2 linked regions of the Astyanax mexicanus genome follow. The protein of the gene in region 1 interacts with the protein of each later gene in a biochemical or structural test. Links are inferred from orthologs where the notes say so. Each region holds a gene or a part of one and is shown on either strand. Other genes may lie near its edges.

Region 1 (7,419 bases):
CTCTTCAGTCTGCAATGAATATACTTTGTATTGCATGAACTTAAACAAAATGTCAAAATTAATTTACTGAACTCAACTGGGTTGAGTTGTCGTTGAGGTGTGAATAAAATACTGGTAATACATGATAACTGAATAGCTTAAGCTATGGGTTAATTGTTTAAATAAATTTGTGATTCCTAGTCTTTTCACAATCATGTCTTTTCTTAGATGTCAATAACTTTGGGATGTCTGTTAAAGTCCACCATCTGCATTCCAGCCAGCTCTAGTAATTGGTTGATGGGTGCTTGATCAAATCGATTCATGTCAAAATGTGCAAAATGAACATCAGAACCTGCAAACATAAGAGAACAGAACAATTATTACAGTTAATACACTATTACATTACGAGAACAATGATAAAGAGTACATCTTGAAGTGCCTTCTTAAATTAGGCACCTGGACCAACAACGATAGCTCCTCCTTGCTGGAGAGGATCTCCTTGGAAATCAAACACAGGGCTGGTCATGGCACGCCACATGCTCTTCAAACTGCCAACAAGCATACTGGATTTGACATGTGGACTCTTGGAGGCTGGGGACACGAACAGGAATTCATCCTTATTACATGCAATGTGCCATAATTACTTAAACCTAGCATTAATTTCTCTTCAACACAGTTATATGAACACAAGCATCAATTTCACTGCAGTGATGTTGGATTGTCAAACAATTATAATATAACAGAAACTCAGTTATAATATTCAATTCTAACACTGTGTTAATGTAAAGACACGACACATTTCATGGGACAGGACCTTGTATCCTGTCCACTGGAAGCTAACAAATGCTGTACTGACTTGCCGATTACGCGTGTGGGCTTTCTGCATTAAATGTGGATGTAATTTCAGAGTCATTTTTCTGTTTACACAGACAATTCTAGCCAGATGCTGCCGGTCATGATCATTACAACCCACTGCACTGTCCACTATAGGTGGTAATGCCTCCAATGATGTATTGCTGGTACACACATGACACCGTGAATCAAGAAACTTTAAATGCCTGCACAACTTCAGAAATGTTACGTCCAATTTATCTGGTATTCCCCATCAATCAAACTCCAACTCTGCTCACAAAACAGCATCTCACAACCTATACTGGTATTCTTAAGCAATCCCCTGAGGTAACATTTTATGGCCAGTTTACATACTACTGTCCCATGACTTCTACTCCAACTTGTCCATTAACTGAATTTTAAAAACTTGGTATTTTTCATTATAATCCATTTATGTTGTGAATTTTGCCAAATTTATCTAATTTAATAATGTGATAGAATTGGCACAAATATTAGTCTTAAATAATACCATATTAAAATCTGGATTTACACTGTACATAAACTCAAACTGAAATATCCATTTAAAACTAAATCTGTTTTCTGGGATTATTCCAGTCAATGACAGTTGGCAGGTTTTTACCTGTTTCCATAAACGTCTCTCCTCTTTTCATGCCAAGTTTTTTATAGATTTGTCTTTCTGGATCAACATATATTTCATGCTGATATCCTGTCAGAGAGCAGAATGCCTACAGGACAGGGAATAAATATTGCAGCTTGACATTTCATTATGTACAGCACAAGGTCTGAAATAGATCAAACTGCTCTATAACTGTCTCACCTCTATATGAGAACAAGAGGCCTGGCCAATGACAACCAACCGGACGCCAGCATCCTGCATCAGCAACACAGACAAATTATTCTCATTCAACTGCAAACTCTGCAAATTATCATTACTGATCATTAGTGTTGTATTTGTACTCACCAGTAATGCCTTCTGTGATATCTTGCTTAGATCTTCAACATATTCTTTACATGCGAAGCACAAGAAATTCTGTCAGAAACCCAAAACACAATTTTGGTATGGTTTGATACTGTTGTTTTCATAAAAAAAAAAAAAAAAACACTCACTGATCACAAGCCATCAAACCAAGCTACCAAGCTGAACTGCTTGAATTTTTGCACCAGGATTGGCATAAAGTTATCCAAAAGAAGTGTGTAAGACTGGTGGAGGAGAACATACCGGGGGTTGTCCGTATAGAATAAAACAACAATACTCATTTTAGTCAAACATATAACTATTAATAGCAAAATCAGAGAAACTGATGCAGAAACTGAAGTGGTCTTTTAATTTTTTCCAGAGATGTATGTTTTAATTATACTTTTTTTTTTTGAAAGTCAGAAAATTCTGAATCATCTAGTTCTTGACACATTTTCAGTGGATGATAATATATATGATAATATTTACTGGTGTTGTAGCTCAATATAAAGTACAGCCCCAGAGGAAAGCTTTGTACTCTGTACTTACTATTTTTCCTAGTGTGTGTGTGTGTGTGTGTGTGTGTGTGTGTGTGTGTGTGTGTGTGTGTGAATCAGATGTAAACTGATTAACCACATTAAACTCTCAGTTGTAAATGCATGTGATTAAACTACAAAATACAAAATACAATCCAGAAACTTTGGAACCTGAAGGGACCACAGGTCTAAACAGGGCCCACCAGTTTCTCAGAGCTCTGCTATATAAACATGGTTTTATTAGCTGGTCTAAGTTTAAATACAATTTAAACTTTAAAACAAGTACAAACAGCCTATTCTTCATATTCTAGAACCTATCAAACCAACTTCAGCCAAATTCAGTAGAATTTTAACTTTAAAACATGTAGATAGTTTATTTTTCGTATTAGGAGAAACAGAGGAAACGCTCTCTTACTCTTACAAAAATGATGATAGCTCTGCTGCTCTGGAATAAACTCCTAAAAGGAGCCGGAGCTCCGTGCCGGTCATATATCAGACAGTCCTCCGCCTCGCTGACACTGAGCTGGGCCGCGGCTCGGCTGCTCTGCGGGGCTGAACTGGAGATCTGCTGGGTTATTGGGAAAACGGCAGCCATTGCTCCGCTGCTGTGTGTGCAGTGTGTTTTTCCGGAGGGTAAACCGCCAGGCCCGGGCTATTTTTGGCGTTTTCTTGACGGATGAAGGGACTCAGCACGCCCAGCCCTGCTGAGGCTTGTGCTGAACAGAGCTTTCAGTTCTGAGACCTGCAGAAAGTTCTCCTCCTCCACATAAAGGGCATGTAATAAAATATCACGGTTAGATTGCATTCAGACACTCTAGACCGAGTTTCAGATTATCTCTATTTATTACAGCAAGCGCGATAACAAAAAAAAACGTTACTTATGTGTTTCTGATGATTAAACTAGTTATTATAGAGTTGTGATGTGTGTTACAGTTATTCACCGCTCACAGTTCAGAGACTCCACTATCAGGACTGTAGCGCCCTTACTGGCCAATCCGAGAACACTACACAGTGACGCGAAGCCCAGCCAATCACAACCAGCGAGGGGTTGTTTGATTCATTGTACAGAACCGACTCTTTCGAATGAACTGATTCAATTAACCGAATTCTCACAAATCAACTGAGAATGCCTGACCAACTGACACACAATCGCCCTTAACATTGAAATGTGGTTAAAATGTTGAAACAGCGTTGAAACAACTTTAATATTAAATGGTTGAACAAACGCTGAAGTTTGTTCTGTCTTTTGAATTAGCATTTTACATTTTATCACCATACAATTTCAAATAACAGATCTTTTTACTTCAATTTGCTGTAATTGCTTTTTAATTTGGCACCAATTCTTCACCATGCCTGGGGGTATGGTCATATTCTTCTTGTTTTACTGTTGTGTTTTTAAGATCAAATGTCCAAACAGATTGGTAATAGTGGGTAATGTTCAGCTTTGAGTACCTTGCTACGTTTTTTTTTAGTATTTATTTGCTTTAATATTCTCTAATATTATTGTTTTTAGATTTAAATTAATTTGTATTATCTTGTAATTTTGTTTATTTAGATAATATTACTTATTTATTTACATTACATAAAGTAACTGTTTACACTCTAAAACCTGAACCAAATGGGTTAAATGTAAGTGGATGGAGCTTAATGGTTAGTCTCGCAAATGAATTTGGTTTACACTAAATTAATTTGCATTTAACACTCGCGGTTAAATGTGAACATAATGGTGCAAATTGGAAATTAAATAGATTTACGCTGAATCAGCATAAAATAACCACAAAACGAGCAGCAGTTGAATGAGTCATTCAGTTGAATCGACTCGAACGACTTGTTGATTCATAATTTGTAATTTGGTAGAATTGTCTTTAACAAAGCGGTTAAATGTGTTAAAATGTGAGGAGCATAACGATGCAAATTGGAAATAAATTTGTTTCAACAAAAAATAACAATAAAACGAACAGCAGTTAAATGAGTCATTCAGTTGAATCGACTCAAACGACTTGTTGAAAAGAGCCGGTTTAAAAAATGATTCACGCGAACGGCACGGGGCGGGACTTCCTTTATAGTAGCAGAGATTCCCGGATGTGTTTTCAAACTGTAAAGAGACTGAAGTAGCTAAGCAAGTTGCCTCTGCCTGCAGGCTGGTTTATGGCTCCGGCTCGGCTCTCTGCCTCCCAGCACTAACCTGCTTCTGCCCGGATTATGAGAGCGCGGGACAGGGGCGGGTCACGCCGCGCGGACTGCTGGTGAGGAGACCCCGCTGGTTTTGCGGACAGGATTCCAGGATTGCAGGAGTCGGGGATGTTGATTAGCACACTTAGCTAGCTAACCTAGCAGCTCCCCCGCTATCATAGCAACGAGACAGCGCTTCAGGGATGTTCCCCAGTCTTAGCTAAAACAACAACAACACGAGCAACAGCAGTAACACCGCCATGGAGCAAAAACTCCAACCTGTTGATAAACACTGGGCTAGACTTACAGACCACCCAGGGCTTTACTTAGCTAGTTAAGGTTAGCTGTCCAGGTTTCCCCCAGTGTATAGTCTTTTAATTAAAGGAATTTATCTAACCTAGCTGTTAGGTTAGTAAGGTTAACCTAGCATAGCAGGGGTTGAGCTTCTCTGAACTCTTAGTTAGTTAGTTATTTAACTTAGTTACAATTGTTGACAGCCAACAGTCCAGGGCTAAAAAATATTGTGATATTAAACATGTACAGCTCTGGAAAAATTAAGAGACCACTTCAGTTTCTGAATCAATTGATCTGATTTTGCTATTTAAAGGTAAATGTTTGAGTAAAATGAACATTGTTGTTTTATTCTATAAACTATGGAAAACATTTCTTCCAAACACCAAATAAAAATATTGTCATTTAGAGCATTTATTTGCAGAGACTGAGAATAACTGAAATGGCTAAAATAACAAAATAGATGCAGAGCTTTCAGACCTTAAATAATGCAAAGAAAAAAAGTTCATGTTTTAGTTTTCCGAACAATTCAGATGCTTGTTAAAGCAATTCATTCAAGTATCACAGCATATTCCCCAATGACGCCTCCCTGAGTCTGACCAAAGCTTCACAAACTATGTGATCTAGCCAGAAGTAAAGTTGTTAGCTTCAGGGAAGATCGCTGTAATTTAGGCCTCACCGTTTGTTATTGTTATGGTGGTGATGTAAAAGAATGGTGTGCTTCCCTGTATAGTTGTGTGAGTCAGATAACTTCATGGTTATCTGGTTGTTTATGTGTCTGACAGGCTATTTTAGTGCAACTTTAATTATTGTGTCCAGATACATCAGAACCTAGGAGATGTTATGGGTAGTTGTATTTGAAGATAATTGATTAGTAATATAAAGCCAGGGGCCAACTGCATGCTTCAGAAATGGCTGGAGTATTTTGCTTGTACTGTCCCTCACATCTCACTTCATGCATTGTCCACTGAAAATAGAATCCAACTCGATTAGAACAGTTGCTACATAAGCGAGAGAATCCAGAGGTCAGCTTGAAGGATTGCGATAGTTGTTTGAATGGTAAAATCCATTCCATAAAATCATAGGATTATAAAGTCTCATAATGTGGCAGCCAATTAATCTGTGACAGTGAAGCTGTTTGGGTGGAATGGTTGTTGGTGGTTTTTAATCATGTTTAACTTGCAGCACTGGGGTATTGGGTTCAATTCCCTTTATGAGTTAAGTTTCAGTGTTTTCCTCTTGTTGCCTCCTACAGTACAAAAACATGGTGAACGGGTGGGTTGATTGCTCTCAGTAAATCTTGAATTGGTGAATCTAAATTGCCCTGGTTTGTGTGTACGAGTGTGTATTTGTGTGAACTTGTGTCTGTATAAGGTTTGGCATTCCATTCTGGGTCTGTGCCCTTAGTGCTTGATGCAGTCCTGGTTGAGAGTTGTTTCAGGTTTCATTAGTTGATTGCCACTTCTCTTTTGCCACTTGATTGAGTGTCGAGTGTAAAGGCTTGTGTAGAGGGTTGATTGTAAAGCGTCCTTGGGCTCTAGAGAGGCAATATATAAGCATAACTACTGTATTCATTCATGCTTTTGCTTTTGCTTCTTGTCACCAGAGTCACCGTGAGTCATCTATATGGGCCATCTTCTCTCGAAAAATGGTTACTGCCTGAAGAAGAAAACTCGGAAGCTGCGCAAGAAGAAGAAGAGGAGGAACTGCTTCCTACGGGGCCCCTGCATGCTCTGCTTCATCGTCCGCAGCACCAGTGAAAGTCTTGAGGACGAGTGCCCCTACGAGAGCACCGGTGGTGCGGCTGTGGCTGCCTCCAAGCTTGCTGAACGGTACGTGTCGTTAAGCACGCCTGAGGACTGTGCCAGGTTCCTGCTGTCTCCAGGGGAGTTGGCCGTTGGCTGGGAGGGCCAGGGCCGGAGGAGCTTGCTGTCCGCCGTGCCGGCCAAGCTGATCGGAGCCCCTCCGTTGTTCCGCTGCTCCACGGAATACTCCGAGATGGTCTGCAAGCGCAAGAGTGGCGAGCCACGCCGATGCACGGCTCCCTGCAAGCAGCCGCGTTGTGCTTTTCACGAGGCTGCTCAGGACGAGGAGGCGGCAGAGGAGACGAATACCCCTCCCTCAGCCGGCCAACGCCTGCTGCCCCAACTCTGCCCACTTCCATCCTCTTCCTCCTCATCTGCCTCATCCTCAGAGGAAGAGAGCTCGGGCGTGGGCCTGCAGGCAACAGACTCGGGTGAAAGTCCCAGCAGTAGTGCTGCCACTCCAGAAAGCTCCTCCTTCTCCTGCCCACTTTCTAACAGCGACGGGTCAGAGGATGGCAAGAACTCGGAGAGCACAGATACGTCCCGCATTAACCACCTGCCATCCTCCATACTGCTCAAGGTATGTGCACTGATTGGTATAGGGGGCATGCTCTCTGTTCAACATGGTGCTATTGGTCAGATATACTGGTAATGCCTGTTAAAGGAAAAGCAACAAAAATGAATGTATATTGCCTTGAAAGTTCCCATTATGTCCATAATGAGTTTGTGTAAAGATAAAAATGTATCCAATATGATTTAAAACAACATAAGTTTTGTGTTTAAACAACTGTGAAAAGAAGCTAATCTGTGTCAAATTAAAACAAAAAGT
Region 2 (7,041 bases), on another chromosome or scaffold:
GTCTAGTGGGCAGTGCCATGAGATGTGATCACCACTGCAGAATGTGTTTTCTGTTACACAAAGGGATAGTTTTTTAAAGTTAGATAGTATTTAGACATTATCCTAAAAAGAAAACATTCTCAATAGTAGTAAATATATAAAATACGTACACTGCCTTATCATGGTACAAAAACTAATGGATATAATACTGTGTAGATTGCCATTAAGGATAAATATACTGTTTGCTAATAAACTAGGGCACAATGTGACAGACTAGGAGCATTAATGTGTCTGTCTATCTTAGAAAACACAATCCCACCATATTTTCTGTTTATAACTTTAATACCAAACAGCCAAATGTGTGAACGTGAAAATGACGGTCATAAAATGTATTCTATGTCTAACTTCCCAGCTACAACAGCATGTTTTTATGACACATGATGATACAGAAAGGTGCAGAAAATCCTAACTACAACCCTACCAGTCTTGTTTTGGAGTTGTCAGGACAATAGTTCACTATTTACACTACATACAATTTTTTGTTTGTTTTAATGAAATACATTTGAAATCGTATGACCATTTTGGTATTGCTTTGCAAAATACTATAATGACTCGAGTCCCATATATTTAAAGTCCATTCAGATAAGGAAAAAGCTTAGTACCTGATTGGAAGACGTATCGGGATAAACCCTGCATAAGTTCAGCAGGCCAGGTGGGGGGTGCAGTCTCCCCAGCCTCTCTCTTCAGACGAAATGTTAGTTCAAAACCAAAACCACTTGGCCCTTCCTGACCAGTGAATCTATGAAAATGAAAACAGTTGAGATTGACAGAACTTTCAATTTAAAAGGCTCCTTACTTTGGCAGTAAGTGTTTATATACTAGGTAAATAATTAATATTTGAAGAAAAAAAAAACCACACAAAAACAAAACAACATGATGTAAAAAGGCAATACATCACAGTTTTTCTAACAGCATTTCCAATTTTTTTCTTATTGGTATTCAGTATTATTAATAGTTACCTTTCAACATCTGGTTCATTAAATAATTGCTTAATGGAGTTAAATCAGGTGAGCTGAATTAACCATATGGGGTGTGAGAAATTGGAACATAGCTTTGTTATTTAACTAGATCACATGATATCAACTACTTTCTAAAAAAAACTTATTGTAATTATTATTTTTATCTGCATCTGACTAATATCTACATTTTTTTCCCAAAACAATGATGTGATAAATGGTCGTAAAAAACAAAAAGTGTTTAAATACCTAAAACGAATAAATAAACGATAAATATAAAAATATAAATATACATTTATATATAAACATGTCTGAAAACACATTTTGGAAAAAAAATGCAAAATGGCAACTCAATTTCCAAACAAAGCAGTACTCCTATTCTAACACTTACTCGTGAACTCTGTTGTCTCCATACAGATCACTCAGGCCAAGGCTAACGTAGTGCCAATGTTCCTGTACGTCCAAGGCAGGGCATCCCATGTTTCTGTACATGCTAATGTAGTCCAGGGGATCTGGCCCCCCTAACCTGTGTTAAAACAACACAACAGGGGAACACAAACAAAGCTAAGCAAACGGCCATGAGGAAGAAAGAGAACAGCTAAGCCGTTTGCTGCGATTGTAATGTTATGTAGCCAGCCAGCTAAAGTTAGCGAAATGTGTTTCGAATATATGAAGCTCCTGAAATAAGATAGCTAAACCAACTAGTTAGTTAGATAGCTTAGCTATCAAGGTAAAAAAAATGAATTTACACACAAAAACCCTTCCCCCAATTCAATAAAATAACATAACTCTCAATTAAATAAACCGTTCCCTCAATTTTAAACACTCCATAATTAAACATATAACAATGTTACAAGGTATATAACTTTCACTATTTTCTACCATGATAACCAAGCAACTTTAGAAGTTCCTGTGCAAGAAAAGTTTTCTGTAACCTTATTTGTTACTTATTTGTTATTTGTTACCTCCTAAAGTGACCTTTATACAGCCAGCTATCTTGCTAGTTAGCTAAACTATCTGTTAACTAGTTAGGTTAGCTAGCTAAGCTAAATGTCTGAACAATTATTCCACAGTAAACTTATTTAGCCAGCTAGCTGGGGTAAATAGGTTTCCCTACAAAGTGTTGCCCTCGAGCAATACACCAAAATTTGGGTTACTACACCAGACCATACCCTATTATTTATGTTTTTTATATATATATATATATATATAAAAGGCAACTGCACCTCCAAGTGCAATCTCCAATATTCTTGTTCTATATTCTTGTTGTAAACTTACTAAAACAGTGGTTTTTCATTCTGTTAAAACACCCCTGCATGCTTTGGGTGCTTCCTTACATTTACGCATCTGATTTAAATTATCTGTATGTTATCAAAAGTCAAAACGCGCATTTAATAATATTTGATATATTCACAGGGAATCCCAGACTTTCAAAAAATCCTCCCGAAAAATAAAATTTAACGTTAAGCCATAGAAAGCTAACCTAGCTAAAGTTAGTTTGCTAAGCAAGCTAAGAATGTAGCAACTAACTTTAGCTTGCTACATCGAAATATTGAACTTTAAACAAAGTTTACTTCACTTTTCTTCTGAACTGTGGTTCTCGTAATTGATTAATAACGTTTTTCTCCAGAGAACAGCCGTGCATTTATGAAATGCTTACCAGTATTTTACGATGGCGGTGACCTGCAGCGGGTTTGGTTGGTCGGGGTAGTGGCGCCTGCACTCCCCGTAGATGGCCTGCAGCCCTGGGGGAAAGATCGACGCGAGGCCGAGGTGCGCGCCGCTGCTAGGCCGCATTTCATCCATCCTTAATCTCGACTCTCGCAGTGTCACAAATGCGCCTGTCTTCACAGAACTGGGGAAACTTTGAAGCTTTCTCCGGAGTAATATTAAAACCCGAATTAATGTGTTCTCATTCGAAATATCTAATTTAGTAGTTTTTTCTCACCCGTTATTGTCTTTTAAAACCCACTCGGTCCGTTTCCCTCAGGGTTTCAGGAGTCGGCGGGGGCGGAGCCTCGTACTTTGATTGGCGTGTGTGGTGTCCAATCAGAATCAGCTGAGGAGAAGTACGGCACTGTGATTGGAAGGCGGATTTGGAAGTTGGTGTCCTTCTGATGTTTCAATAACTTTTTATTTTAGTAAATAGCTAAGTAAACATATTCAGAAAATAATCACAGCGTCCAGTAACGTCATAATTTCGTGATAATGCAAGGACTATACAAAGTTGCTCCTAACTCAGTGTCTGTAAATGTATTAATGTATCAGTAATACATATTCAAATGTATTTGTTTACTGTAGGTACTCATACTAATTTTGTGGCAGTGTGTTCATAGCTGTGTATGTACCCCAACCAAGTTTAACTATACATTAAACATTTTCTTTGGACTCAACATTTAGACATCAGTACAGTTTAAAACATGTGGGAGAAAGAGGCGCCACCTACTGTTCATATATATGCAACGTGTGGAGTATGTACATAGATAGGCTGGGTATTTATTGCTGTATGATTGATGGAGTAACACATAGGTTGGATTCTTGTTGATAAATACTCATGACTGCTAAAGGAATGGATATACAGGTGATAAACAGATAGATCTACGTGCTTACAGTTTGTTTACCTGCTGTTTAGATACAGAACATCTCTGTGAGCTTTTAACTGGTGACAGAGCTCCTTTACAGGCAATCCAGGGCTGCAAATTCCATATAAATATGTACCATTTGTACTTTTATGGTTTCTGTATTATTTTTATTATGAAGTAATAAAAATCATTAGGAAAAGGTTTTTGAAACGTATTATGCAAGCCTTTCCAGCCTGTATGCATCCTATCCTTTTATTTTTTGTTACGAACATAACTGAATTACTTTTTTTATTCATATCTAGTTAAATAAGGCTTACTTTCTTATTCAAAAGTAATACTTATTGTATAAAAAACTAAACATACATTAATTTACTAATACATAATTTATTTAAAGTCTTTGTGCATTTCTCTTACAGTGTATTCCAAACTTGCTAGGTTAGATTAGATTTGCGAGCAGTTCGATTTTAAACTTCCACCATCCATTTATGGACCATTACCTTGTACATGTACCATGTTTTTGGGTACTCAACAGTCGGACCTTCTTCCCACTTACAGTCCTCCAGCACTGACCATCCTAATGGAGAACATCACAGGCCCTCAGGATAAAATCCTGTAATTCCACCATTGCTATGGATCTACCCCAGCTCTTTTTAGAGACTCAGTTGTACTGGTATTACCCTCATCCATACACAGGTTCTCTCACAAACGTGTCTGTGAAAAGGACCCCTCAAGGTAGCTGTTCTTGAGCCTCAGGAAGAAACATGGCCAGAGGGCTTCACTGTGAAAGGTGAGCTACGCTGGGGGAGGCTGGAGAGAGTGTTTAGGATCAGCTGGGAGCTTCCAGACTTTGTGAAAGTATGCTTGCTGCAGGTGTATGGTACTTATCCCAGCATTGTTGTGAGCTTCAGGGGGTGTTGGTTCATAATGTTGAGAGCCCACAAAATGGAGTGGAAAGTGTTAGGGAAATTGTCAAGAAGGAAAAGAAGAAAATAAAGCCAGAATTTTTATTTGCTGACTTTATGTAGTTTGTTATCATGTGAAATATTTAGCTTTTTTAAAGTTTCATTGAAATAGCTAATAGCTAATAGTGATTTGTGGCCAAGTTTGTTGCATCATTAATGTTGAACTCTATGAACTTGTGTTTACAATTGGCCTTGCTGTTTTTCCTTGGAAAACCTTGAAAGTAAATGGAATCTAAAATGAAACGGTACAAAATTCTTTGGTGTTAAAATAAATATTTTGATTAAATGCAAGCTAATTTATAATAAATATACTGTGAAACACTTTAAAATTATTCATGACGATACTAAAAATGGTTATTTGGTTGTTGTAATGGAAGAATCACTGTTAGATTCATAAAGAATTATTTTTGTAATAGAGATTTGTGCTATGTTGAAAGCCATTTTAAATTTAAAGAATCTTTATTTGATGTATACGTTCCTGACACTTCCAGATCTTTTACAAATACGGTTCTGTATAAAAACAAAGGTGTTTTTTTTGACATCTTGACTAATCCTTTGTAGCACCTTTGTTTTTAAAAAAGAGTGTACTGTAGTTTTTACAGGATGTCAATAGTATGTTTTTCATTGAAGTCAAACCTCCACATTTGTATGTTTTAGTGCTAAACGTAATGTAAAAATTTACCTATTTCACAATTTGTTATACAGTATTTTATCTAGGATGACTTAACAGATTGTAAGCAACAGCTGTGGGCGGTGAGCGTTCTTGGTATGGTGTCCATGACTTCCAGTTTCCATGGAATGATCCTGAGTCATTTACCAGGAGCAAGAGATAAGACATATTTGTGGTCAATGTGTGGGCGGACATGTAACGTTTGCATACTTTAGCTCACATTTCATTATTGTGCATCAGCATATGTGTATACATACATGGACTTTGTGTCAACAATGTATGTCTATGTGATGCCACTCATCAAGCATCTAAAGATCATGCCTTCGTATAAGAGTAATGACGCCATGTGGCTCACTGTGTTAAAGTTATTTAGGTGCCTTCTCTTTAAATTAGGACAGAGTGACTGACTAAGAGGTGTGATGTAAGACAAGGAAGTTAAAAAATATAATTTGCGTGGATTTCTAAGACCATTTGACTAGCACACCCACTCATAGTCCCACTCATAAATGCAAAGTGTGTATCTCACATTAGTGCAGTGTCTGTAAAAGCTTGTGTAAAGAAATGAACCAAACAGAAATGAACAACTTTAACTTTGTAAAATGTATTAATTTCATATTTACAAGCATTTTATAAGACATGTTTCATACAAAGGTTGTCTCAAAAATACATAGCATTTCTCCTGTATGAAAAATGGGATCTTCTCAAGCATCTTTTTTCGTGATACAAATCCTATGAAAGTCCATCTTGTAGAGAGTTCGGCCAGGTTTATGGAGATATGGAACACTCTGCCAGAAGAACTGAGCCCATAGATGAGCTCCTCCTGACCACCATCTATGGAATTCAGTTCTCAGGGCCAAGTGCTCAGAGGAACCGGAGACAAACTAGAGGTCTAGAAGAAACTAGTCTCATAACTTTGAAAGGGAACATAATCACTTAGTATCCAAACAATGTAACAATGTTATAAAACTGTACATCATAAGGATGTTTGATATTTAATAGAAAACATTTATGAAACTAATGAAACATTTTGTTCCTATGGTTTTTATATTACAAAACAAACAGAAGATTAATGCTTTTTTTCTTCATTATATATATTTTTAAACTAAGCAAAGATCTTAGGGAGGGAAGTTCTCTTTTATGGAAGAGTTTCAGAGAGTCATCACTGAAATCACATTTTCACAGATGAAATCTGACACAGCAGTAGCTCAACAGTTTTACGATTTCAAGTGTGTTTATCCCGCAACAGATACTTCATCGTCCTATGAAATTCCACTGACAAAACAAGTGACATGACGTCTATTTTCTCAATGCTATCTCAATCAGGTGTTTGTTTAATGTTTGATCATTACTGAATTCTTGACACAGGTACAATGCACTTCATGTCCTCAGCCGAATTCAAGCCACACCTGAAGAGTTTCAGGAAATTCTTTCTTTCCGTTAAATGGAACTGAACCAGTTGAACTGCCTTTAAAGTGTACTGCTGGAAACCCCCATGGAAGTCCAAACAAGATCCATTATCTACTATGAGACTGGATGATCACACACAGCAGGCCATATCACTCCTTACTTACAAATGATCAAATGCTGCCGGTTTTACTGATGATACCAGTTTAAATAAAGGTACATATCAAAGTTTTAAAACATTCTATAAAATAATTATGTTTTACTCTTAACCTTTACTTACACAAAATACCAAAATTAATTGTTTATTTAACAATTATTTGTCTTTAAATCAGGGCTATTTTAAGAAATTGATACTTACCTGTGAGACAAACTCTTCCTAGTTTGCCAGTATAAATGTTCTATATAATTCTCCTCTTTGGAAAAATGCT

Evidence for each region. The genes of interacting proteins can lie anywhere in the genome.
Region 2: of the proteins of fbxl17 (region 1) and sufu, one has a biochemical effect on the other in vitro, tested with the Homo sapiens proteins (2 studies listed by BioGRID, with this or other methods). The link is inferred for Astyanax mexicanus from reciprocal best matches to the Homo sapiens genes FBXL17 and SUFU.

The regions. Positions count from the first base shown.
Region 1 is NC_064419.1:35,401,513-35,408,931, forward strand, and holds the start of fbxl17 (F-box/LRR-repeat protein 17), read left to right. Parts: upstream 1-4,399; 5' UTR 4,400-4,568; intron 4,569-6,391; 5' UTR 6,392-6,411; coding exon 6,412-7,170; intron 7,171-7,419. Other genes in the region: prxl2c (peroxiredoxin-like 2C), read right to left, coding at 204-331, 436-570, 1,451-1,556, 1,649-1,702, 1,793-1,861, 2,738-2,917. UniProt on the Homo sapiens protein: Substrate-recognition component of the SCF(FBXL17) E3 ubiquitin ligase complex, a key component of a quality control pathway required to ensure functional dimerization of BTB domain-containing proteins (dimerization quality control, DQC).
Region 2 is NC_064414.1:23,140,426-23,147,466, reverse strand, and holds the start of sufu (suppressor of fused homolog), read right to left. Parts: upstream 3,025-7,041; 5' UTR 2,802-3,024; coding exon 2,656-2,801; intron 1,522-2,655; coding exon 1,387-1,521; intron 779-1,386; coding exon 642-778; intron 51-641; coding exon 1-50. UniProt on the Homo sapiens protein: Negative regulator in the hedgehog/smoothened signaling pathway. Down-regulates GLI1-mediated transactivation of target genes. Down-regulates GLI2-mediated transactivation of target genes. Part of a corepressor complex that acts on DNA-bound GLI1.